2 linked regions of the Arabidopsis thaliana genome follow. The protein of the gene in region 1 interacts with the protein of each later gene in a pairwise test. Each region holds a gene or a part of one and is shown on either strand. Other genes may lie near its edges.

Region 1 (6,274 bases):
TTAGGATCGAGAAGGAAGCGTTGGCTGCAAGAGGCGGTATATCAGACGAGTTTTCCAGGAGCTCGGCTCATTCGTCTTCGCTCAACATGGGAATGCTTGACCTGGCTGGATCACAGAGTTATGTATCCATTGATGAATCAGTATTGCAGCCAACAGCTCGGTAGTAGATTCGGCTTTGTTTGTACAGATGCATTACTTGCTTGTGTTTTTGACCTTTCACATTGTCTCTGGTCTTTAGTTATTAGTTTTGAGCTTAACACTACTTTTTTTTCTTTCTTTTGGACTCGAGGTTACAAGAAGTGCTTCGAGTTTGTTTGTTTTTCTTTTATTGTTTTCAGACTAACTCGGTGATTTATGTGGGATTGTGATATATTATGTTTTCTTTTAACTGATTTTCACATTTTCAACTGATTATATAGGATGATGTTTATGCTCTCGTAGAAATAAGTTCTATAGGTTATTGACACATTCGAGATTCAGGCGCAGTTGTGTTAGTAGTGGTCAAACCAAACCCACGAGTTACTTCTCATGATACAGTAGGTTAATAAAGGGCTTGAATGGTGTACACTTTTATTTTACGTTTTGAAAACATAATTCTGATAAATACATGTTATTCTAAAAAATTTACGCTAAAATTATAGAACATGAATTTAAACACTATAATCTATAACTATATTTTTTTTAAAACATTGATTTAATGATATGGGATGTTTTTCTCAGTGCTTATAAGCCAAAAAATATGTTGGTAATCTCAAAAAAAAAACCTTGAAAACAAGGAGGCCGATCAGGGTTCTTTGGGCTTTGGAATCGAGAAGTTTGATCAATGTTCTCTTGGTACAGCCTGATGATGAGGCCCCATTAGAAAAGCTATTTCATACTCCAGAGTCCATATCTGAATGTACAAGGTTTTTAAATGGAGAAAAGCCTATAGAAGAAATTGTTGACTATACTTCTTCTTGTACTAGCTGGGAAACTGATACTGACTATACAGATACTGAGAAAGAAGAGTCCAATGTTCTCTTGGTACAGGATACTGATACTGAGAAAGTGGAGTCCAATGGTCTCTTGGTACATGATACTGATACTGAGAAAGTGGAGTCCAATGTTCTCTTGGTACAGCCTCATGATACAGAAAAGGTGTTTCCTACTTCAAGCTCAGTATCTGATTGTACAAGCCTATTAGATGGAGGAAAGCCGCCTATGGACCAAAGCGTAAGCTCACAAGGTGTCGACAATATTACTGCGTGATCTATTTTTTATTTTATCTTTGTTTATGCACGCGTTCTCCGTTTTGCTCTATGTTTTTCTTTTCTTCTCTCCCAATTCTATATCGTGATCTCAGTCGAAACCATGAGTGAAGATTTCTCCAGTAAGATCTCTTTCTTCCATATGTCATACATGTAGACGTTCTTTTGTGGGAAATGGACACTCCTGTGGACTATCCTACAGAATCCAATATTATCCTCATCTCTAACAACATCGAAGGTGATATTGACTTCATCCAGTGTCTTGTATCTTCAGCTTCCGCAGGTTACAATAATCTCTTCGTAGAGACTACTGAGGCTGCTCCCGAGAACCTTGAAACCACAGGATGGCCGACATACATATTACAAGGAGGGAAGCCTATCGGCCGAATCCGCTATAATCCGCCTCGCGATCTGTAGTTGTTTTCATTGAGCGGAAGAAGAAACATGAGGTAACATAAGAGCAGAGCTGATACTTTGATTCGGTGCATATGCCTATTTTGCTACTGGTGTCTAGAGCCGTGCTAATTTTGATGTCATAGGCGAAAAATATGCTTTAATATTTTTAAAAAATATTATACATATAAAAAAAATCAATGTTTAAAGTTTAATAATAAATTAAGCAAAATTAAAGCAAAACTTAAAAAATAATTTAGAACAAAAATATGCCCTACAAAAAATAGGTTGATTATAATGTGTAATCTAGTAAATTGTGTTAGTGTCATTATTGTGTTATCAATCAAAACATAATTTTGGTAGTTAAATTTTTTTAATATATATATAATGTTAATATCCAAAACGTAATACCTATATATAAAAATAATTAATTAACTTTGATAAATATGATTAACAAAAATGAAGCTGGTAAAGAAGTGAGAAAAGAAGACTTTAGTTATTGCCTTAAGTGTGTTTGATATAGATGCATTTTTTACAAGGAAAATAGTTATATTTGAAAGATATATGTACTTAGCTTGTGTATTAAGAAACTAAATATTTTAATATGACTCAGATACATTTCCTCTCTCTAAATTATTGTTTTCTGTTTATTTTCATAAAATAGTAGAAGTTTTAAAAATATTAAAATGATCACAAATATTTTCGTAATTGTTTATAGATTTTACCTATTTCTTGTATTTTAGGAAAATTTGTAAATTTTAAAATGTTTATAGTTAATTGAATTCTTAAATAACTTTTAAAACCCTAATAAGTTTTCGAAAAAAAAAAATTACTTTCCCTACTATACAATAAGAAAATGTATCAAAAATCAAAATTTAATAAAAATGAATAAAAGTAAACTTATATAAAGGGATTGAATAATAATAAAGTTCCCCTTAATGGTTAAAGATAATGAATACACGTGGCGTTTCTGGATTTGGTAGAATATGAACCAGAGAGAAAATAAATAAAGAGATTAAAAAAAAAACGAACGGTGCTGATAAAAGTGAAAACCTAATCTCTCAATCGCAGACGTTGTCATCTCTCTTCTTTTCTCAAGCGTCCGATCAATCTCTCCTCTTCTCTCGATCTCTCTCCCTCTCTGCCTCCTCTCTTCCTCCAATCAACAAACACCTCTCTGTTTCACTCCCGCCCTTTTTCGAATTCTTCTGGTAAATCAATCTTCTCTCTCAACTTCTCTGATTCATTGCTTCATTTCAATTTTCCCCTTTTCATATCTTATTAGGATGTGTTTTGTCTCTGATTTTCTTCGTTTTCTGTTGATGGGTTTTGTCTATTTTGTGTTAATTGTTGTAAAGTTAGGGTTTTTTTTTCTTTCTGAGATGGCGGAGTCGCAGGCCAAGAGTCCCGGAGGCTGTGGAAGCCATGAGAGTGGTGGAGATCAAAGTCCCAGGTCGTTACATGTTCGTGAGCAAGATAGGTTTCTTCCGATTGCTAACATAAGCCGTATCATGAAAAGAGGTCTTCCTGCTAATGGGAAAATCGCTAAAGATGCTAAGGAGATTGTGCAGGAATGTGTCTCTGAATTCATCAGTTTCGTCACCAGCGAGTATGTCTTTTTTAACCTTTTAACAATGCTATGTTGTGTTTGCTCTTGCTGAATGTTTAGAGGCTTGATAGGAACTTTGAGTTTTAGTTTCAAGTCTTAAACTTTATAGTGATTTTTGGGTTTTTCTTAACTAGTGAAAGTTGAGGCCTTTTTAGTCCTTACATTGGTTACTCTTTCTTGTTGTTCATCTTTGTTTGGCTTTGATGTTGCATATTTGATGATGCAATGGTTTTTCTATGACGTTGATGAGCAGAGCGAGTGATAAATGTCAAAGAGAGAAAAGGAAGACTATTAATGGAGATGATTTGCTTTGGGCAATGGCTACTTTAGGATTTGAAGACTACATGGAACCTCTCAAGGTTTACCTGATGAGATATAGAGAGGTATGTTCTGAGTACGATGTTTATTAGTTATGCTGTTGTGTGAAGAGAGTTTTTGAATTTCACTAACTTACTCTGTTTCTCCTTTTCCTTTTCTTGCTCTACTACGTGAACTGGAATATCACAGATGGAGGTCAGTGGTTCTTCTTATTCTATTTCTTGTTCATTCCTAAAACTTGCAACGATCTATGATCTTTATGGCTTCCGTGAATCATCTCTTTTTGTCAACTTATGTATCAAACTATTTATGCTTTCCTTATCCTTTTCAATGATCAATAGGGTGACACAAAGGGATCAGCAAAAGGTGGGGATCCAAATGCAAAGAAAGATGGGCAATCAAGCCAAAATGGCCAGGTATATGTCTCAAATCTCATGCCTTTGACCATTTTTTCGTCTTCGCATTCATCTGCACGTATTCTCTCTTCCGCTTTAGCTAAGTTAGTCTGACATTCATGGGGTTTGTTTACCATTTGGCAGTTCTCGCAGCTTGCTCACCAAGGTCCTTATGGGAACTCTCAAGTAACTTTTCCTCTCTTCTCTTCACACTCAAGCAATACGCATCATTCTCTTCTAATTTGTTAAGAATTGAAAACTTGTAAAGCATCACTTATGTTATAATCTATGAATACCTCAAAATCTGTGAACTAATTTGACATTGGACTCGGTATAATTGTAGGCTCAGCAGCATATGATGGTTCCAATGCCGGGAACAGACTAGTATGAGAGGAGTATTCAACTTTGGTTATGTTCCACCAAAAGAGGTTATCTTATCTGTATATTATTTGTGTTGTAAGAGTTTTGCTATGCAGAACTTGTGACTATAATCATCTCATTGTTTTGTTTTGTTTTTGTTTCCTTGGATTTGTTCTGAATATGTCATCAAGTCAGTCAGTCTATTTATATATTTGGTTTGTTGATTATTTCAACACCGGTCTAAAGAATGAATTCTGATTTTAACAAAGATTTCATACAAGAATGAGAACAAATGAATACTTATTTGGAAAATGTTCACCATCGATAACGTAGTAAGATCCAGAATCTGTTAAACAACCCTTACCTAAAATAGTAAGAACCCTAGATTTTATGTTTATATCGCCTGCATTATCTTTAGTCTTTTAGTAGTAACGAAAGCAAAATTAGATGCTTATTGTTGTTTATTTGGTTACAGTTGTTGTAATCGCGGCGTTATCTGTTAAACCAAATTAGAGATTCTTTTTTAACATATCGTTTCTACAAAAAAAACGGGAATAATCCAACGGTCACAAATTTACAAATCAACGGATCACGTTCATTTCGGGCTCACTTCTGTCAAAAGACTTAAGACAAAAAAAAAAACTCAAAAATTAACAAAGAAAATTGATTAAATATTAATAAATAAGAAACCGCCGATTTGCTTCGTTTCAAATTCTTTCATCTTTTATGCGATAAAGCTTGTTTGATTTTTCTTCTTATTGAATCTGTGTGGTTTGTCTATGGGAGAAGAGAAGGAGAACTGGAGAAGCGAGCTCGACGATATCAATGGGCTTAGTCTGATTGATTTCTCCGCCGAGGATGATAACCTCCTCCTCTCTTCCTTTCTCGATCCCACCACCTTTGATTTCTCAGGTTATTTCAATTTCCATCTCCAATTTCTGGAAATTGTTAGCTGAAGATTTTCCTGGGAAACTTGTGAATTGTGTGATTTGGTTCATGATTGTTCATTGTGGGGATTTATAGATTTTTTAAAGCTTGATTAGATTTTTTTATGATGATGATGGATTCAGATACTGATAAGGAAGACAGAGGTCTTTGTTTATTTGGAGATACACATAATTGTTGTGATGAAGAGACTTTGGGCTCTACTACTTTAGAAGAGAAGGAGCCTCATAAGATCATGAAGACTAACCTACGCAAAAGTCTTGCTTGGGACAAAGCCTTTTTCACCAATGCAGGCAAGTATTTTTTTAGTGGCTGTGTTCTGTGGATTTGTTATTTAGTAGTAGTTAGTTTTGCTGAGATAAGTTGGCGCATTTAGGTGTTTTGGAACCGGATGAACTGTCTAGCATGATGGGGAGGAAAAGTTTACCAGCGGTTCAAGAGGATTTGCATAGATCAACAGAGTCTATGTCTACATTGAAAAGTGACTGCACTGTGGAGACTGGTCAGGAATTTTTTATGTGTGATGCTGCAACACCTGACAAGCGTAAGGACTTGGGATCAACAGAGGCAGTACCTAGCCCAAGTAAGCTTTGTTTCCATAAGCGGATTTATAAGGTTCTGTTTATTTGCATCTCTGTCTATTGTTTTGGTGTAGAAAGAGCTTTAGTTTAGCAGAATGGTTTTTTTTTTTATTGAACATGATATCTTATTTCTAGCAAGTTGTTGTGCTTTTGGTCACTAGTAAGATCTTGTTGATGATGAAGCTTTTACATTGTATGATTCTCTTTATGGCTCCTCAGCCAGCTCGCATCTAGTGTGATCTATCCTGAGATTCTAAGTGATCCCATCATTTTCGTTGATTGTATCTAGCTAATGATCTGTATGGTAGTTTATATTTTACTATAGGAAGTACTGTTTGAAACTGTATATGATTGAAACCTATTTAATTTCCGTTATCTATGAATCTCAAAATGACCATCTTTTTTACTTTTCTCATTTGAAATTTG
Region 2 (4,337 bases), on another chromosome or scaffold:
GAGAAATATATAGAAATGATAATTAGAAAAAACAAAAACAAAAATAATTCAATTAATAACTTCCTCATAAGAGTTCGCTAAAACCGCGCTAAAATTTCTTGAAAGACAAAATTCAAATAAATCGTTTGTGCGCCAAATTCCGTTGGAAAACAAAGAATAAGAACGAAAAATGAGTTGGAAAATTTTTAAAATAGATTCAGGTTTCAAAATAAGTTTTTTTTGCTAGATCTCTGGATCTTGTTGCCTCTAGAATGTAATCTAACAAAAAGCTGCAAACACAAAAGAGTCTTGACAAGTAAAAGTGATTAAAAAAAAAAGAAATAGCCGAATAAACATCCTTGTTTACAGTACCCTATCTCTTATGAAATAGATTATAATATATGATTCTTTTCTACTCTCATAAGGAATCACTAGAAGATTATGTTTCCATGGGTAAACTGAGGACTTTTTTATCCGTAATCCTTGTGTTTTTGTATGCATAAATTAATCTAAAGCCAATATTCATAAACCATTAGATTCATTTGAAAGACAACAACAGAAATACATTCTTTTTTTTTTTTGGACAAAACAACAGAAATACATTCAACAACTAAAAAACATAACATTGAAAACATAAGCAGAACTCAAAAAGAAATTCAAGTTCTCACAACAGCGGTTACAAAACCCAATCCAAATATTAATTCCCACCGTTTCCTCCATTTGCCCCAGTCGCATCCTCCTCGGTCCAAGCTCCAGGCATCTGCGGGTGTGGCGCGTGTATTCCTAAACCGTAACAAACCGGAGTTCCTATCACCGTTCCCGGCGGCAGTTCTTCATTGTTAAGATCTGGCACAGCCACATGATCAGCAACATCGTCCACAGGATCAGCAGCGGCGACAACGGGCTCTCCCTCGTCCTTAGGGACATCATCACGCAAGAAATCAAAGATGACGGTTTGAGACACTACGGCATCAACATCAGATTTCCGTATCGTGAGTCGGTTGCTCTCTTGAGCATGGAGCCATGAACGCATCGTGAGGTCCATGACAAACATTTCACAAGCCTTAGATAAGAGATTTGGAGCCTCAGCAGCGATCATACTCACATCCGGATCAAACTTCATTATCCTCTTGATACGAGAGATGGGGAACTCGTGATTCTTGACATTCAAGTCACCTTCCATCCCCTTTGACCAGAAACTCTTTAGTTGCTCGTTATCTTTCGGTGGCTGTTGGTGGTTGTTGTTGTTGTTCTCCATTTTTTTTTTGTTTGAAGTGTTTGGGTTTGAGATATTTTTATGTGGAGGTTTGCATATATAAAGGAAAATTAAGCGTATATAAGATATGGTAGGATAAGATTAAGAAGTGATCTCTTTACATATATGAATCTCAACCTATTTAGTAGTTTGTTAAGAATATTTAATGTTATTAACTGTATGTGTGTGACTGACAGACTTGTGGTTGGTATTATAAGAAGAAAAAAGAAAGAGATTTGTTTTTACTTAAAGTGTATATTATATACCAAATAATAGTCTTATAAAAATGAAACAAAAAAAAAAATACCTTTTTCTCTATAAAATTGAAAGTTAAAATTTTGCTGTACAAAACTTAGTTTTGAATATCTTGTTAAAAATGATGTTTTCAAATGTTAAATGTGAAAGCATAATTTGCTCAAAATTTTAAGAGAATTTTAATAAGAATTTGCTCATGATGTTAAATTGAATTTTACTTAATTTACATTGGTTCAAATTAATGTATGAAACGATATATAACAATAATATATGAATGTACAAAGTACAAATCCTGTAGTCCCTCTAAAAGTTAAATTTTGGTTATTTCTCTAATTATTTGATTTGTTAACATGAGGAGGTAGACACTCAAGAGAGAATCTCACATTTTGATGTTTAACTGCAAAATAAAAGAGAGATCATTAATAAATATGTTAGTAAATTTTGTCAAACAAAATATTAAATTTAAATAAAAAGTGACCAGTTTGGAGTTGGATTGTTCCAAAAAGTGAACAGTTTGGAGTTAAACAAGAGTAGCCGTTTTATTTTGGCGCCTCCTTCTTCAAGATATTACTGCATTACTCCTCCATAACCACATTATCAGTTTCATCACTCCTCAGTAGCACCAAAACTCTTGTGTGGAGAAGAGGAAACACACCTTTCAATACTCAGTTTGATTATACTCGTAGCCTTTCGAACCAATGCACTTCAAAGCCTATTTGGCGAAATCTCAAGTCTTATCACATCTATAGACTTGAGATTTTCCCAAATAGGCTTTGAAGTGCATTGGTTCGAAAACATAAATGGTGGAAAGAGATAGATGGTTTTTGCACAAAGTTCGATAAATATCAATCTTGAAATTCAAAAACCAAAGATATCGTTTCCCCTTAAGATCAGATCTCGAAGTCTTAGATAAGGAATCCATAAAACTTGTTAAAAGAGTACTACTCCTAAACAAACAACTCATGCAGGAAGCTTTGCGCGGGTGTTGGAACTTGTTTTTGATGAAGTGGTTGTGGCCACTTTTCCGGTGAAGACGTTCATCGGAATGACCGGTTTTTCGGCACAATAGAATCATTGTTGCAAGCACTACGCGGACCGTGGTGGTGCATTGGAATGTCAAAAATGAAGTTATCATTTGAATGAGAAATGAAGGTCCAAAATAGCTGCCTTGGTATATAATATACAGTAAGTAAGAGGAGAAATCCAAACATACATGGGTTGGGTTTGAGATTTGAGAGTTGGGAAATGGGCTTACAACCAATAAAAAATATCTACCTTAATGATAGAGTTTTGTAACAACAACAAAAAATCAGTTATGACAATTAAGGTCAGAAAACGTTTTTGACATTGTTGTGAGAATCAAAATCTCATAAATTTTCGTTAAGGTGAGATCACCTCATGAATATATATACGTTGAGCTTGGGCTATGTAAGTCAAGTCATTGTCTTCTCCTTCTCTTCATAAGATCACAAACATCAAAATTCCTCTCTTCTCTCTTCTTCTTTTGTTTGGGTCTGAGAGTGTAACACAAGACTAGTATTCGTTCGGCTTTTGATTTTGAGTGTTGCCAATGAAAAGAGATAACAATTTTCTCATGCGACTCTAATCGTCATTAAACCCTCGCACTACGAGGAGATGTTTGAGTTATAAAGGAGAGATCATCAAAGCTCTCGACTCTGTTAAGCACCGTCAATCTCCGTTCCTCAATCATCTTTTTGGTATTGTTGAATTTCATTACCTGTTCTATATTAGTTGCTTTAAGTATTAGGTAGTGTCTATGTTAAAATATTCGTCGTACAAAATCTAGTGGTGGGAATTAACAAAAAAAAATAAAAAATCTAGTTGTGGGTTTTATTTTTCTATTTTTGTTCAACCATTATCTATCTTCTAAAATAGTTATGGTCTACTCTCAAAGAACAAGGTTGCGTATAATGTAAACATGGTTTTTTTGATGACTAAATGTAACATTTATACAAAAAAAAATATTTGGAGAAATTGTTTCAGCATTGTTACAAAATTAGAACTTATATTGTTGCAATTTTAGGAATTTTAATTTTCCAATCAATTTGTCTATTTTGAAAGATCTTGTGGCACTATTTTGACGAAGATAAGATGGAAAAGGATGATCAATAGCGGAAAGAAAGAGCAAAAGGAAGAGCAAAATGGAAATGGATGACCTTCTGGATCATTTTCACCTCCTTTACCTATAAGCAACTGAAAAGCAACTTGATGTGAGAACCTGAATAGTTCTTTCCTTGGGTATGTCCTTAGATTTTGATGGCGACGGTGGTATGCATTGGTCCATAAGGTTGTCTCTCAAGAACCTTTCAAGTTGAGTATATATTGGCTTAGTGGTGAGAAAAATGGATATGTGGGTTTATTGAAGAAGTAGATTGATTCAGGGTATTACAGGATGAGTGGATGCTTCTCAATTGGGAAACATATAAGCAACGACTCTCTCAACTCGTTCTCACATAGAGTTGATGTGGACAATAGGTAACAAAGGATAATGCACATATATCCTAAAAAATGCAATATTTTGGCTCTTTATGCAAACTGGTCACTATCTTGGAATATTTCAACTTCTTTAGAAGAAATGAACAAGTATGAAATGGTAGAAGTGCTTCAAGATTTTGAGGAAGAGTGAGCTGTGACGGTTGTGCCGCTTGTTAAACTCATGGGATTTACAACTTACAACTTTATTTTTAAGTCACAATCGTCAAACATTCTTTTTCATTGAAATCTTGAGGCACTTCATACTTGTCCACAACTTCTTGGGGAGTTAAAATATCATGTGACCAATTTGCATAAAGAGCCAAAATATTGCCTTTTGTCGCTTATATGTGCA

Evidence for each region.
Region 2: the proteins of NF-YB8 (region 1) and NF-YC5 interact in a two-hybrid assay, tested with the Arabidopsis thaliana proteins (one large-scale study listed by BioGRID).

Annotation. Positions count from the first base shown.
Region 1 is NC_003071.7:15,573,314-15,579,587, forward strand, and holds NF-YB8 (nuclear factor Y, subunit B8), read left to right. Parts: upstream 1-2,682; 5' UTR 2,683-2,851; intron 2,852-2,998; 5' UTR 2,999-3,022; coding exon 3,023-3,249; intron 3,250-3,502; coding exon 3,503-3,632; intron 3,633-3,756; coding exon 3,757-3,762; intron 3,763-3,908; coding exon 3,909-3,983; intron 3,984-4,106; coding exon 4,107-4,148; intron 4,149-4,305; coding exon 4,306-4,347; 3' UTR 4,348-4,603; downstream 4,604-6,274. Other genes in the region: AT2G37050 (Leucine-rich repeat protein kinase family protein), read left to right, coding at 1-164; AT2G37070 (TRIO/F-actin-binding protein), read left to right, coding at 5,102-5,234, 5,393-5,560, 5,644-5,850. UniProt on the Arabidopsis thaliana protein: Component of the NF-Y/HAP transcription factor complex. The NF-Y complex stimulates the transcription of various genes by recognizing and binding to a CCAAT motif in promoters.
Region 2 is NC_003076.8:20,559,934-20,564,270, forward strand, and holds NF-YC5 (nuclear factor Y, subunit C5), read right to left. Parts: upstream 1,296-4,337; 5' UTR 1,238-1,295; coding exon 677-1,237; 3' UTR 501-676; downstream 1-500. Other genes in the region: AT5G50500 (uncharacterized protein), read right to left, coding at 2,217-2,624. UniProt on the Arabidopsis thaliana protein: Stimulates the transcription of various genes by recognizing and binding to a CCAAT motif in promoters.